Linked DNA regions of Arabidopsis thaliana. The protein of the gene in region 2 interacts with the protein of the main gene of each other region in a pairwise test. Each region holds a gene or a part of one and is shown on either strand. Other genes may lie near its edges.

The links. Proteins that work in one complex are often made in the same cells at the same time.
Region 1: the proteins of NAC071 (region 2) and AT1G11510 interact in a two-hybrid assay, tested with the Arabidopsis thaliana proteins (one large-scale study listed by BioGRID).
Region 3: the proteins of NAC071 (region 2) and RBE interact in a two-hybrid assay, tested with the Arabidopsis thaliana proteins (one large-scale study listed by BioGRID).

The regions. Positions count from the first base shown.
Region 1 is NC_003070.9:3,870,923-3,875,364, forward strand, and holds AT1G11510 (DNA-binding storekeeper protein-related transcriptional regulator), read right to left. Parts: upstream 2,008-4,442; 5' UTR 1,915-2,007; coding exon 856-1,914; 3' UTR 801-855; downstream 1-800. Other genes in the region: AT1G11500 (transmembrane protein, putative (DUF1218)), read left to right, coding at 1-9, 96-322, 420-648; AT1G11520 (pliceosome associated protein-like protein), read left to right, coding at 2,107-2,697; CXXS1 (C-terminal cysteine residue is changed to a serine 1), read left to right, coding at 3,596-3,673, 3,950-4,072, 4,234-4,389.
Region 2 is NC_003075.7:9,977,719-9,982,845, forward strand, and holds NAC071 (NAC domain containing protein 71), read right to left. Parts: upstream 2,838-5,127; 5' UTR 2,321-2,837; coding exon 2,164-2,320; intron 2,074-2,163; coding exon 1,784-2,073; intron 1,681-1,783; coding exon 1,456-1,680; intron 1,366-1,455; coding exon 1,159-1,365; coding exon of another isoform or gene 1,132-1,158; 3' UTR 985-1,131; downstream 1-984. Other genes in the region: ALMT12 (aluminum-activated, malate transporter 12), read left to right, coding at 1-4. UniProt on the Arabidopsis thaliana protein: Transcription factor involved in tissue reunion of wounded inflorescence stems. Required for the division of pith cells in the reunion process, which is dependent on polar-transported auxin and the wound-inducible hormones ethylene and jasmonate.
Region 3 is NC_003076.8:1,827,350-1,831,612, reverse strand, and holds RBE (C2H2 and C2HC zinc fingers superfamily protein), read left to right. Parts: upstream 1-2,426; 5' UTR 2,427-2,506; coding exon 2,507-3,187; 3' UTR 3,188-3,463; downstream 3,464-4,263. Other genes in the region: LBD33 (LOB domain-containing protein 33), read left to right, coding at 186-464, 563-817. UniProt on the Arabidopsis thaliana protein: Probable transcriptional regulator essential for petal development. Required for the early development of the organ primordia of the second whorl. Acts downstream of AP1 and PTL.

The sequences.
Region 1 (4,442 bases), on a different chromosome or scaffold from region 2:
CAAAGCAAGGTTCTGTTTTATATTAAGAGTGAAATGTAGTTTATTTTATTTTAACTACCAATAATCTTTTCTTGTATTTGATGTTTATCCTTCAGGCACCTCATCATCATCATCAACAACATTCAAGACATTCAGGTTCTGGATGTCGAAGAAGCCCCAGCGATGGAGCATTTGCTGAGGGAGTAGCTGCAATGGTGCTTCTGTTTATTGTCCATGTCCTAGCTAATGTGCTTGGAGGCTGCACTTACATTCGCTCTAAGCAAGATTTCAAAAGAGCAACGGCGAACAAGATACTCGCTGTGGCTTTCCTTGTTCTCTCCTGGTAATGGAAAAGATAATAGGTTTTTGGATTTCATTCAAAAGACAAATTTGAATTATGTCAGCTGTTTTTGTTTTTGACATACCTTTGTTTGTCTTAGGATCTTTTTTGTTGTCAGCTACTCAACGCTAATGATAGGAACATTAGCCAACTCGAGAACGAATCGACTCTGCAGCTTGCCACATCGTTGGTTTTTTCTTATTGGAGGCATATTTTGTCTAGGACATGGAGTGGTGACTTCAGCATATTATGTTTCAGCAATTGCTGCTAAAAAAGAAGACAAAGAGAATGCGCAACAAGAAAATCTAGCAAATAGAAGCCGCGCATAACACGTCTTCTTCATCAAGATACACAAAATGTTTCATCTGTAAATAAACTTAAATTGCTTCAAAAAAGCTTCCTTCCATTTTGATAAATCCGCAATATTCCAAAATAAACTCTTTCAAGAATCAATAGAAAACTAAAATATAATATAAAAAAGCCAAGAGTTCTAAACAAAAGAGGCAGAACCAAAAAAACAAAAACCATAAATATATCTAAGCGTTTGATCCAAATGCTTCAGATATCTTTGATAGCACTTCAAAAAGAAAACCATGCTTCTGCAAAAAGAACTCAAATTCCCTAGCCTGCATCGCTTTCCACTGCTCGTAAAATCTCTTCATATCCTTTGAGGCAAGCTTACTCAATCCTTGTTGAGCAGTAAGTTCATCCATGCCAAGACCCACTATCGATCTAACAAGAGAAGACTTTGTAAAAGAGACTTCTCCTTCATCCATCACCTCATCTTCACAGTTGTTTTTACTGTTGGGCAAAGAAGAATCAAGTTCATGCTTCACAGACTCAAACTTACTACTCTTCTTCGACTTCTCATTAGATTTCATACCAGATGCAAGAGCCATTCTAATACCTCCCCAAACTAACTTAGACAATTCAAAAGCCTTGCGATCATGAGGTTTGACGAAAGTAGGTTCAACACCATCCTTGGCTTTACCAAGATTGTTCTCATACTTCTTCTTTAAAGCCCTAAGCTTTTCCATAAGCTGATTCTTACTAACATCAAAACTAATAGATTTTTTCACCAACTCATAAACCTTATTCGTATTACTTACCCCTGTATCTTTTTTGTCATCAATCAGACCTTGTAAAACCACAATCTCATCATCTTCAGTCCAAAGTCGCTGGAAATAAGTTTTCTTCGTCTCTTCTCCTCCGCCACCACTCTTCTTCTTCTCCTCTTCCCCTGAAACCTTCTTAGCCCTCTTCACATCCATAGACACTGCTGCTTCATCCACTTCAAGAGAACGTTTAGCCCCAGATTTCTCGGAGGTTTTCACCTTCTTAGCCCTCTTCACATCCACAGGATTCGTCACAACTTGATCTTTCTTCTTCTCGAGTTCAGAGTCTGAATCGGTTTCTTCATCCGAACCAGATTCGGAATCGGAAACGGCGTCGAGAGTCGTCTTCAAAGGTGATGGGTTTTCAGAGGAAACGTCATCTTCATCATCCGAAGAAGAGTTTCGTGCGATTTCTTTACCTTCTTCGTCGCTTGAAGAAGCACTCGGCGGATCTTCTAACGGATTGAAACGTCTCGACATTGTTTTAGGGTTTATGGGACTTTGGAGAGACTTAAGAGGTTGAAATTGAGATTTTTGCTTTGCTGCCTTCACCACTTCGTTCTTAGGGTTTATATATATTGAACAAAGTGTCTCTCTGTTTTCCAAAAATAAATAATCAAAAAATTATTGGAAAACGTATAAAATTATTTATTGTTTTTCCTCTTTTTTTGCATGACGTTTAGATTTCCGATTTCCTTCCTTAAAAATTTGGAAATTAGCTATATTGACCAATTTTATTTCCCTATATTTTATCTCTTACAAATAAATGTTAGATCTCTCTTTTCACAACAACACCCGAATATGACCGCTCATTCAATCGTCGCACACGTTGATAGCGTCCTTCCCAAGAAATCTCGTGAGATCGACCGTCGCCGCCGCAGACGGAAGCGGAAGAAGAAGAACAAAGCATCTCAGGCCGATGTAGATGCAATGGACGTGTCAAAATCTCTGTCAAGCACTCCTACTGGTATTGAGACACCGGATGCAATTGAACTTCGTAAGGAACAGAGAAAGGAACCTGATAGGGCTCTATACCAGGTACTTGAAGAAAAGGGAGAGAGTGTTGTTGCTCCTGGAACATTGCTGAGAACTACACACACATACGTTATTAAGACTGGTACTCAGGACAAGACGGGAACCAAAAGGGTTGATTTGCTGAGAGGGCAAAAGACAGATAGAGTGGATTTCAGTTTACAGCCAGAAGAGCTGGATGCTATGGGAAATGTTTTACAGTATGAGGAGGCAAGAGAAGAGGAGAAATAGCGCAATAAGCCAGTGGACTTGAGTGACATGGTCGTCGAGCATGTGTAGCAGAATAGTAGGAAGAGGAAAATGCATGGCAAGGAAGAGAAGAAAAAGAAAGATTTCAACTTCTGAGGTGCGTTATGGAAGAGACAAAAAAAAAAAGATTTTAGATTCTGGACATGAGACATAGAAAGAGATTCATGTTCCAGAATTATTAGTCTTGAGTAAGAGATCTTGAGTTTTTAGTCTTAATGCTTATTAAAAAAAAAAAAAAATGTTAGACCACCAATGATGTAAATTTTTAAATAGGTGATTGCATCATTGTGTAAACCTAATATTTACATTTTGAAGGATTTGGTCTTTCTGCAGTATGTAAGTTAATTCAATCCCCTTATTATTCTGACTTGTAAGGGGATTCAAACCCCATCAATGGTTTCTAAACTTAAGTTTCTTATTTTAGAGAGATAAGTTTTATTATAAAAAAATGTGTGGGTTTTTTGATTAATGAAGAAACCATCTCCAAAATACTTTATATAAGAAATTTTGGAGAGAATTTCTAAATATTTAAGAAACCCACATAATTAAATAATATTATTTTTGTTGTTTTAATGTTAAGAAACTTATATTTAGAAACCACCAATGAAATTCCTCTAAACATTAACATTGCATATAGTCATAAAAAAAATATCTATTTTCTTTTTGGTTCTCTTTTTAATATAGCTTTCTTGGTCAACACTTATTCTTAAATATCTTAGAAATTAATAAATTATTTCGTAACTCGTTGAAAGATAACTGGCCACACTTTTTGTGTATGACTCAGACATAGTTTTTGTCCACTCGGTCCCATCATGCAAGTAGATAAACACTGAATCACCAAATCTTGTTTGAGATTTAGAAAAAAAGGAAGCTCCAAGAGATGGCAAGAGTTGTTAAAATCGATTCTGCAGAGTCATGGAATTTCTATGTGAGTCAAGCCAAGAATCAGAATTGTCCCGTAAGTCTCTCTTCCTCTTATCACTTTCGTTTTCTAGTAGCCAAAATGAAATCTGATTTAGATCCAAGACCTATGAAAGAATCAAGATCTTAGGATTAGAGTTTTATGGAGAATTTGATTTACAATTGGTTAAATCCAAATTGTGTTACTCTTTAAGATATGAAGTTAGTGAGAATGAACCATGAATATTAATGTTCAGGATTGTGAATGAATGGCTCTGTCTTGTTTGTTTATATGAATTACCAAGAACGGTTGTTCCTTTATGGTTTTTTGCAGATTGTGGCTCATTTCACTGCATTATGGTGTATTCCTTCTGTGTTTATGAACTCCTTCTTCGAAGAGCTTGCGTTTAACTATAAGGATGCTCTGTTTCTAATAGTTGATGTTGATGAAGTTAAGGTAAAACTACTTATGTGTCTCTCTACTTGATATGTCTTTCTACTTTGGCTTCTTTGTTGAAGAGAAGTGTTTAACCATCAAGAGTAAAAGATTTAAACAGTTGCTAAATTGGTAGATGATTAATGGTTTTTCTTTGTTTTTTACTATGTTGGATTGGTCAGGAAGTGGCAAGTCAACTAGAGGTAAAGGCGATGCCAACTTTCTTGTTCTTGAAGGATGGTAATGCGATGGACAAACTCGTGGGCGCAAACCCTGATGAGATTAAGAAACGGGTCGATGGTTTCGTTCAGTCCTCACGTGTTGTTCATATTGCTTAAGAGAGATTTATAGATACGAGCAGAATACTAAATAAAGTTTGTGTGAAGTGTAA
Region 2 (5,127 bases):
ATGAAGCAACGAACGACGACGATAAATTGAGTTTTTTAGATTAGACTAAACCGATCGGTATAAGGGGTCGATGATGCGATTCGATTCGGTTTGGTATGATTCGGTTTGTCCTTTTTACGATGATGGGAATTAGGAATCGGATGCTTTTTCCTTTTCGTGTCTTCGTTTTCAGAATTTACTAATAAGAAAATTATCGTTTCTTGAATAGAAAAAACTATTATGTGTTTCGTTGTGTAATGAATTGAGATGTCTGGTTAAGACAAACAATACAAGGAGAAAGATACAGTCGTAATGTTTAAGGCCGGTTATTTCTGGTCCGGCAATTTGAATTTCCGGAATTTAATTGTAAAGTGAAAAACAGAAAAAAAAGAAAAAACAAAAAAAGGAAGGGCCCAACCGGGTTCGAACCGGTGACCTATTGATCTGCAGTCAATTGCTCTATCACTGAGCTATGGACCCAATTTGATATTGTTCACATTTTGTAAATCATATAGACTATATATCAAAAGTATTTCGTAGATCATTTTCAAGAGGAAGAAATATTCTTATAAATTTTAAAAGAATGAAATGTAGAAAGCTCATGGAAAAAAGAATTTTGTTTGAAAGGTCTCTAACAATTGAGAAATGCAAGCTTTTGGGATTTTCATACATCTGTAAACAAATTGCTGCGTCACATAGTTTTTGATTTTAATCTCTGCATATTTATGGAATTTTGTTTACATAAACTTTTGAAATGTCAAAATGGTCCCGAAACTATTGCTTTTATAGACAAAATATTGGATTTTTAATGCAAATGATTGTTATGACTTCTACATAAGTTGCTTTATATAATATAAGTTTGGTCCAATTAATGATTGAGAAGAACATGATTGATTCTCTTTGCATATATCATATCAAAGGTATCGGAACATTAAAATAAGACTCTATAATAACGTAAATCTTCATACGAAAAAACTTTAAATAAGGAATTTATTATACTCATTCCTTATATTAGCAAACAATATATATAAAACTAAAATAAAAACCAAGAGTAAGATAATTAAATTCTCAAAAGAAAATGATAGACGTTCACAACTAGTTCTTCTTCTTCTTCCAAGTTCCAAGACACCAACGTTAAAAGGCGTTTTTGTCCTAAGAACGAACCAACATTTCTTGTAGCTAAAAAAGGTTTGAGTAGTCAAATGAACCGGTTTGGTCATTTTCATAATTTGTCCAATAACCGGTTTGCATCGACTGATCAATGTCCTGGTCCACATTGAAATAACAAGAGCTCACCGGAAATTCCACGTGGTGGTTTGCCGTGGTGACCGGAAAATGGTAGTTGGGAAAGCACTCAGAAGCAACCTCCTTAATCTGAGGATAATCCTATATTTAAAATCACAAAACCAAAAACACATATCAGACCACTACTGTCTATACAAAAACTATTTTGGTTTAGATAATAGATGTAGGTACCTTTGACGAATCAAGGATGAAATCAGGAGAAATCCAAATGCTTGAAGAGTCGTTTGTAGTAGAAGAAGGCTTGAACGATTGAATCTGCGACGCTTCATCGCGACAAGGAGAGGTCGCGAGGCTAGAGTAACAAGAACCAATGTCTTGTTCGTTTTTATTTTTCAAACTTTTCGAATTTTTCTTCAGTTCATTCTTCTTAACTACGCGACATAACGCAAAAGCTCCCTAAAATTCAAACATATATATGGTTTTTAGGCTTCGTTCCATTAGTTCATAAAAATGAATATTATGAAGTTGGATCAAATGAAACGAACTCTAATTTTCTTACCTTGAAATTTGGTGATTTTTGTGAATGATCATCAATATCGCATAGACGATATTCATGCATAAACCAATTAGTTCTGTCGCCTAATGGGGCACGACCTTCATAGAAAACTAAGGTTTTTCGGTATCCAGCTATAACATGCGATGATTTACAAGTGATTTTCCGGTCTTTACCAGTTGCTTTCCAATAACCCGCTTTTGTAGCCCTATTGGTTCGAGAACCGTTTGCATATTTTTTGTCTCTTGGACAGAAAAAGAACCATTCCAAATCTCTATTTGGAAGGAAAGATTTACCTAAAATTCAAAGATAAAATCAAACAAATTTAGTTTTATTTAAATATAAATTTATGGATAAAAATCTAATTGTTTTCCTTTTCAAATTACCTGGCAACTCCCAAGGATCAAATTTGTATAAGTCGATAACAGGAATGACTTCAAGCTCAATCTCGAGACCTTCTATTTTTCTACTCAAGTAGTAGCCTATGAGCTCTTCATCAGTTGGATGAAATCTAAATCCTGGAGGCAAACATGAACTCCCCATTTGCAAAATTCACACTTGTAGCTTGCGACACAAGAGAGTTGTCGAAAGCTAATATTTAACTAAATATCTATTGACTATTTGGAAAATCTAAAAATATAAACTTTTTTCGACATTCAATTTGTTTTTGAAAATAAGTTGCAACTCACTTTGATTGCATCCTTTTTGTGACAATATCATTGTCTGAAAGAGATTGTATGTTTACAAAAAAAAAAACGAATTATCCAAAATTCTCTTTTTAAAAATATATCTAACACCTAAGAAAAAAAATAGAAACAAACTTAAGGTACAATTCAGAAATAACGAAGAGCAGTTGGTGGAAGAGCTAATTGCTGCGGGTCAAAGAGTCTGACTGAGGAAAAGGGTTCTCTGACTTATTAGCTATACAAGACCAAAAAAAAAAAAAAGTTATTAGTGAGTATTGATTAGGAGAGTGATTAAGATCGGAGAGAAGAAGAGAAGGTTGGTAGAGTGTTGAATGGTTGTGGGGTGAATGATATTTATAGCACAAAGGTTGCGAAACTTTGTGAGGCAAATTTAATCATAGCTTAAAATATGTTGATGAATTTTTCTGTAGAATAAACAAACAGTATTATAATAGTCAGTGCCGTTAATATTCAGAAGAAAAAATAACTCGACACACCGAAAGCGGATAAAGACATTGCTTGTCTTAAGAGTTCCCAAAATTCAAAAAGAAAGTGGACCTACCTGGTCTCTAAAGTTAGACTTGTTCACACTTCACACATCAATGATTCAATAATACTATCACCTATAATTAATCAAAACTTATTTTTCTATTTTTTAATTTCATAAGACGTCGTTTCGTTTTGTAAAACGATATGTTTATAGGTGTGTTGGCAAATTAGTCACTTTTGAAAACATAATTATGGAGTTGGGCAAGTTACTATTTACACTTGACAAAACATGTAACTCACTTTGGGCGTGTAATAGACGAGCGTGAAATAGAAGTTTGGGGTGGGGTAAGTGATGTGTTTTGAAATTACCGAACTATCCTTTTGACAGAGAAGAAAGATAAAAGTGAAATATTCTTTTTTTTTTTATTTCTTTTTAATAACCCCTCCAATTTAATAATTGAAATACTTATCAATATAAATTTATTTTCTAAACTAATTCATATACATAAAAATCTATGTATTTTTCTTTATAATTTGATATGCATTTTGTTAATATTTTTAATATATTACAGACATTTTATCAGTAGTCGGTACACTTAATTATGTGTACAGACTTTATTTTGTACGTTGCATTAGCTGTACAGAGTATATAATTGTATGGAGTATACAATTATCAGTAGTCACTTTTCACTGTTGATTCGTACACTTAGACCTGTACAATATTTTTAGTGTATATATATATATATAAATATACACAACGTACACTTACATCTGTACACTAAAAAATGTTGTACAGATCTAAGTGTACGAATCAAACAGTTAAAAGTGACTACTTTGCAAATTGTGAATAGTAAAATGACTATTTTTCCAATTATGGCTGGACGATTTCAATTTGTACTTATTAAATAAGTTGTATAAATAAAAATCTGTACACATAATTAACTGTACTGACTACTAATAAAAATGTTTATATAATATATTTAAAATTATTAACAAAATGCATATCAAATTATAGAGAAAAAATATAGATTTTTATGTATCTGAATTAATTTAGAAAATAAATTTACATTGATAAGCATTTCAATTATTAGATTGAAGAGGTTATTAAAAAATAAATAAATATATATATATATATATATATATATATATATATATATATATATATATATAAAGAAATACAAAGAATGTGAGTATGAGGAGAGAGAAATGTTGAATCTAAAAGCACAAATCCCAATTGCTTTCAACGACATTGGAGAAGAAGAAGATTAGTGGCATATTTGTAAATAATAGAGTTGGTATGGGGTATATTTGATTTTGTCTGTAATAGGGTCAAAGGTTAGTGACTAAAAATCCAATTATAAATAGTAATTTGCCCAATTCCATAATTAAGTTTAAATATCTGACTACTTTACAACTTAACCCTATGTTTATTTGCATGTCATTCTTGTATATCGGATTAGTAAACCTTGGTTAACCAAAAAGAGAGAGATATATTTTACATTTCTCTAATGTTTTTTCTAGCTCGTTTCTTTGATATAAGTATGTAACGGGAGTTTTAGTTCTAGGTCATAGAAACTCGGTCCTAGCTAATTCTTTTATTTTTCCTTTCGTTCAATATTCTAAACTTTTTCTTGACTATTTTGAAGGGGGTGTAACAATGTTCCTCCACGTCAGTATGAGTAAGACAAAACTGCTTTTTATTAGAGTAACCACTTTCAACTTTTAAGACATTAGAAGAGATAACAAAACTTTGAAGAAAATTTTGTTTATTGTCTTCTTTTTACCGGAAATATGTTATTGTTTAAGATGTAAAGTTGTAGTTTAAAGTTTAGTTCCCATTTGTGTAAGACCCGATAGCTGAAATATTCAAGAGGAAAAGAAAATAAAAAAATATTGGGAAAACGAATGACTTCACGAGATGGAAATGTATAAGGTTAATAAGTTCTATATACCAAAAAGTGCACCTTATAATTATACGATACTTTAGGAACGGTCACCATGACCCCTAACACTGATTAAAGAGAGACAAAAGAACAAAAATGAAGAAAAAGGCCTAAAGCGTGAATAACTACGTCATATGGTAGGAAAAGAAGAAGTTAGCCTATGAAATACGAATAACGGATCTTCTATGTTGACTATACTGAGCCCTAATTTTATATATCAAAAAGTACCATA
Region 3 (4,263 bases), on a different chromosome or scaffold from region 2:
ATATTGATCAATCAAGTGTAAGTAAAATACTATAAAGTTATAAAAATGATTGATGTTTATCTCAAAATTGAACTCTTTTGCCCTTCTTTCAAGAACTTTTAGTGGTGGGGCTTATAAAAACCAACGTGATTTGTCTCAATCTAACAAAAGGTAAAAACATAAAACAAAACAGAGTAAAAGAAAAAATGGCAAGTCATGGATCATCTTGTGGAGCATGCAAGTTTCTAAGGAGGAAATGCAACCGCGACTGCGTCTTCTCGCCTTACTTCAGCTACGAACAAGCCTCTTCCCATTTCGCAGCGGTTCACAAAGTCTTCGGCGCAAGTAATGTCTCTAAACATTTGCTTCATTTGCCTCAACATCAAAGAAACATCGCTGCTATCACCATCTCCTACGAGGCTCTCTCTCGCATGCGTGATCCTGTTTATGGCTGCGTTGCTCACATCTTCGCTCTTCATCAACAGGTCTCTTAAAGTTTTGAACGATATTCTTTTATTCTTGTTGAGATTTTAGACCATTTCAAGCAGTCTGATCACGTTGCTTGGTGGGTTTATTTTTTTAGGTTGTGACTTTGCAAGAAGAGATTGAGTTTCTCGGGTCACAGATGAAGAATTTTTCATACTCTAATCAAAACGGATCACAACTTAACAACATACCGGAGTTTGTGAATCAGATGACTATGGCCACGACCAATTTCGTCGACGAGAGTGTTTTGAACAATGCCGACGGAAGAAACTGCTATGATGGGTTCTTCACGAACTCAGAGGAAATGCTCGTGAATCATCAATGGCTCCAGAACATGGATTATTATTACTAAGCACAACAAAATTCGACGCGAACTAAAAACGATGGATCTATATATAATAGTTGTGGAGCATGGTTTTGTTGTTATGATAAATCTGATTTATGTTTTGTATATCAGTCTTGTTATTTACATTCGCGTTATTTATCATATGCAATTTGGTAAGGATTAAGCATATCTTAACCCTCCAATTAAAGTTGGATTTCTAAAACAATGTCTTTAGTTTTTCATTTGAGGGGTCTCTGTAAAATTGATTGTGTACCATTCGGTTAAATTCTAATTAATGTAATATTATACTATATAAAATGCTATTATAAATTAATAAAGAGAATTAAATTGGTATATAGTATAACTATGAACTGTCTTTCCGTCATAAAAAACAAAATATATTTAATTTTCTTAATTATTAAGATCATATAATTTATCATAAAAGATATTTCATCATTTTGAACAATTAATCTATGTATAATAAACATGTAATCTATATATTACAAAAATATTCAATTTTCTAAATTATTTTGATCTTGGGAATTCTTGGATCTTTCTTAGTTATTGTTGGGCTTGAAATATCTATATAAATCCAATATCAAAGTCTAAAAGTTTCTTAGGAGCCCAATGGCCCATCTGAATCGTAAACCATTGCAAGCCCAAAAGCCTCTTATGTAAGTGGGTTTTTCTTCTATCCGAGAAATGATGTGATAATGTCTTCAATTATTGAAAAGGTCTTGGCGTCTTGTTACGACACCAAAAAAATAATAAAAAAATTGATGCAACAATCTCAACAAAATTACGAAAACGAAGTTCATGTTTTAGCGGTTTATCACATTCTTCGTATAATAATCAAAAAATATATTTTTGCGTTCTAATTAAGTCACTTTGGTTTGGATATTTTGTAGTTTGTACTCCAATCTCGTTTTGTTTATTTCTCTCGTACTGTCTTAAAACCCGTAATATGGCGACAATGATAGGTAGAAAGAATCTCTTGACATATGAGTCCTTCAATTAACGTCTTGATAAAAATAATCTAAATTCCAGGCAAATATCTCTACTTTTCATCCGTATAATAATTGTAAATAAATCACACGATAAATTATTGTCAGTATCCCACGGCTCCATTGTCTAATTAGCTAAATCAATATAATTAATCATAAATCAATTGTTGGGCCCCTGTACCTCACAGCCACATACATCCGATGATTCCGATGATATATGGTGTATATTTTAGACTCCATAAAATTGTTATAAAGATTTCAAATTAAACCATAGTTTTTGTCATATTATTAGCTACGTGTTATTAGAAAATATCGACTCTGACTTATTAATTTTGTAGACTCGTGGAAAACTTAAGTTGCGTCTGGCATTAATTTAACTATTATCAAATCAAAAGCTCACACCAACTAATTATTAATATCTAAACATTTAACATGTATAGAGTGAAGACATACGAGTAACTAAAGTAAAAGAGAACTTTCCCCATCAAAGCCTCTCCCTATTTACTCATGGTTCTCCACGTTGCTTTCTCACATTCAATGCTTTAACCATATAGTCATATACACACACACACACACATACCTCTATCTATATGCGTCTCTCTTTATATAAGTCTACGTGCGTCTAAATCTACATACTTCACTACTCCCACATAAATAAACACAAAAAAAACACTCACCTTAACTTCTTCTACTGCATAGAAAAATCTTACATATGATGGATAGAGGAGAATGCTTGATGTCGATGAAGCTTAGACCGATGGTGACGAGGCCATCTTCGGATGGGACTTTATTTTGGCCGTTTAGGGAAGAGAGAGCGTTTGCGTCAGCTGAGGAGTATGGCGGCGGAGGTGGTTGCATGTGGCCACCGAGGTCTTACTCATGCAGCTTTTGCGGGAGAGAGTTCAAGTCGGCGCAAGCACTAGGCGGTCATATGAACGTTCATCGAAGAGACCGAGCTCGACTCAAACAACAATCATTATCACCTTCATCAACTGACCAAGCCACACCTCCTGAATGTGATCGTCAACAACAAGTTCTTGATGTGGGATCAAAGGTTCTTGTTCAAGAAGAAACAAGAAAGCCTAACGGAACCAAGAGGGAGATAAGTGATGTTTGTAATAACAACGTTTTAGAAAGTTCTATGAAAAGATATGAACATGACAATGGTGAAGTCAAGACTGACTTATCGGTCGGTCTACTGAGTACTGAGTTTGATCCTCGGAAGAAGCAACTAATCAACGGATCATCTTCGTCATGGAAGAGGGCAAAGACGGATGTGTCAAGATTTCCAATGATGTTAGGGTTGGTCATTGGAATTTCCGAGATCAACGGCCATCATGAGGAGTTGGATCTTGAGCTAAGGCTAGGAGCTGATCCGCCTAAGGTTAACTAGCTTAAGTAATTAAAAAGTAATAATAGTTAATGTGATTGCCAAAAAGAAGAAGTTAAACTGTCTCTAATCTCAAGAGTGAAAAGTGAGTAGGTTCTGTAGTGTTGGCTTTGATATAGTAATATATTTATCTTATGGATAAAGTCAACACGTATAGTCTTTGCTCTAATTCATAAGACAATTAAAATATTTTGATTGTTTCTTTTTCTTACGAATGATGTAACTTTCTCACGATTTGGTTTTCAATATTTATGCCTATTCGAAAGATTTTTGATTGGAGTTGCCGTAATAATTTTGAAAAGGTCTGGTGATTGGAGTGTCTTGGTGATGACAAACTTAAATTAACACTAAATAATTGGTAGGCAAAAAAAAAAATAAAAAAATATTATCGTTGATGAAAATTAGTCTGGTATTCCATGTGAACTCCTAATAACCGTAAGAGAAATTAGAGACGAATTATCATAATCTTACGATGCAATTTAAGAATAAGAAGAAATAAGTATAAATTATATATAACCTAACTGAAATCTTGATAACTGATGTATATAGCCTATAATTGGGTGGTGACAAATAAAAGAAGCCTATAGTTGGGTATTTGGGTTTTACTTGTAAATAGCCGTAACGTAATCAATGTTTACTATAAGCTCCAATCTAAATTAACATTTTTACATATATTGCTGTATCAGTGGTTGGCACATGAAAGACAGTATATAATCATTGTGTTTTATATGTTTGGAAATAGTAGGAACTTCAAAAATTACTTTTCTAACTAGTTGGCTTCGAAATTTTATAAATCAATAAAACTGTATCTGGAAACAAATACTGAACAGTGATAAATATATTTTTTCATTATTTCTCTTGGTAAACAGGAAAATGGACTATCAAAGTATTAATGATCGAATTAAATAGAAATGTAATGAGCATATGCAGGAACAGATGATTATTGTTTGTTCACACCAACTTGCATATATATATTATATATATGAACATACTATTACAGATGTTACATGTATATATATACATATTCTGTTGTGACTGTGGGACTAGTACCAACTAAGAGGAGAAGGGTAAAATCTAAG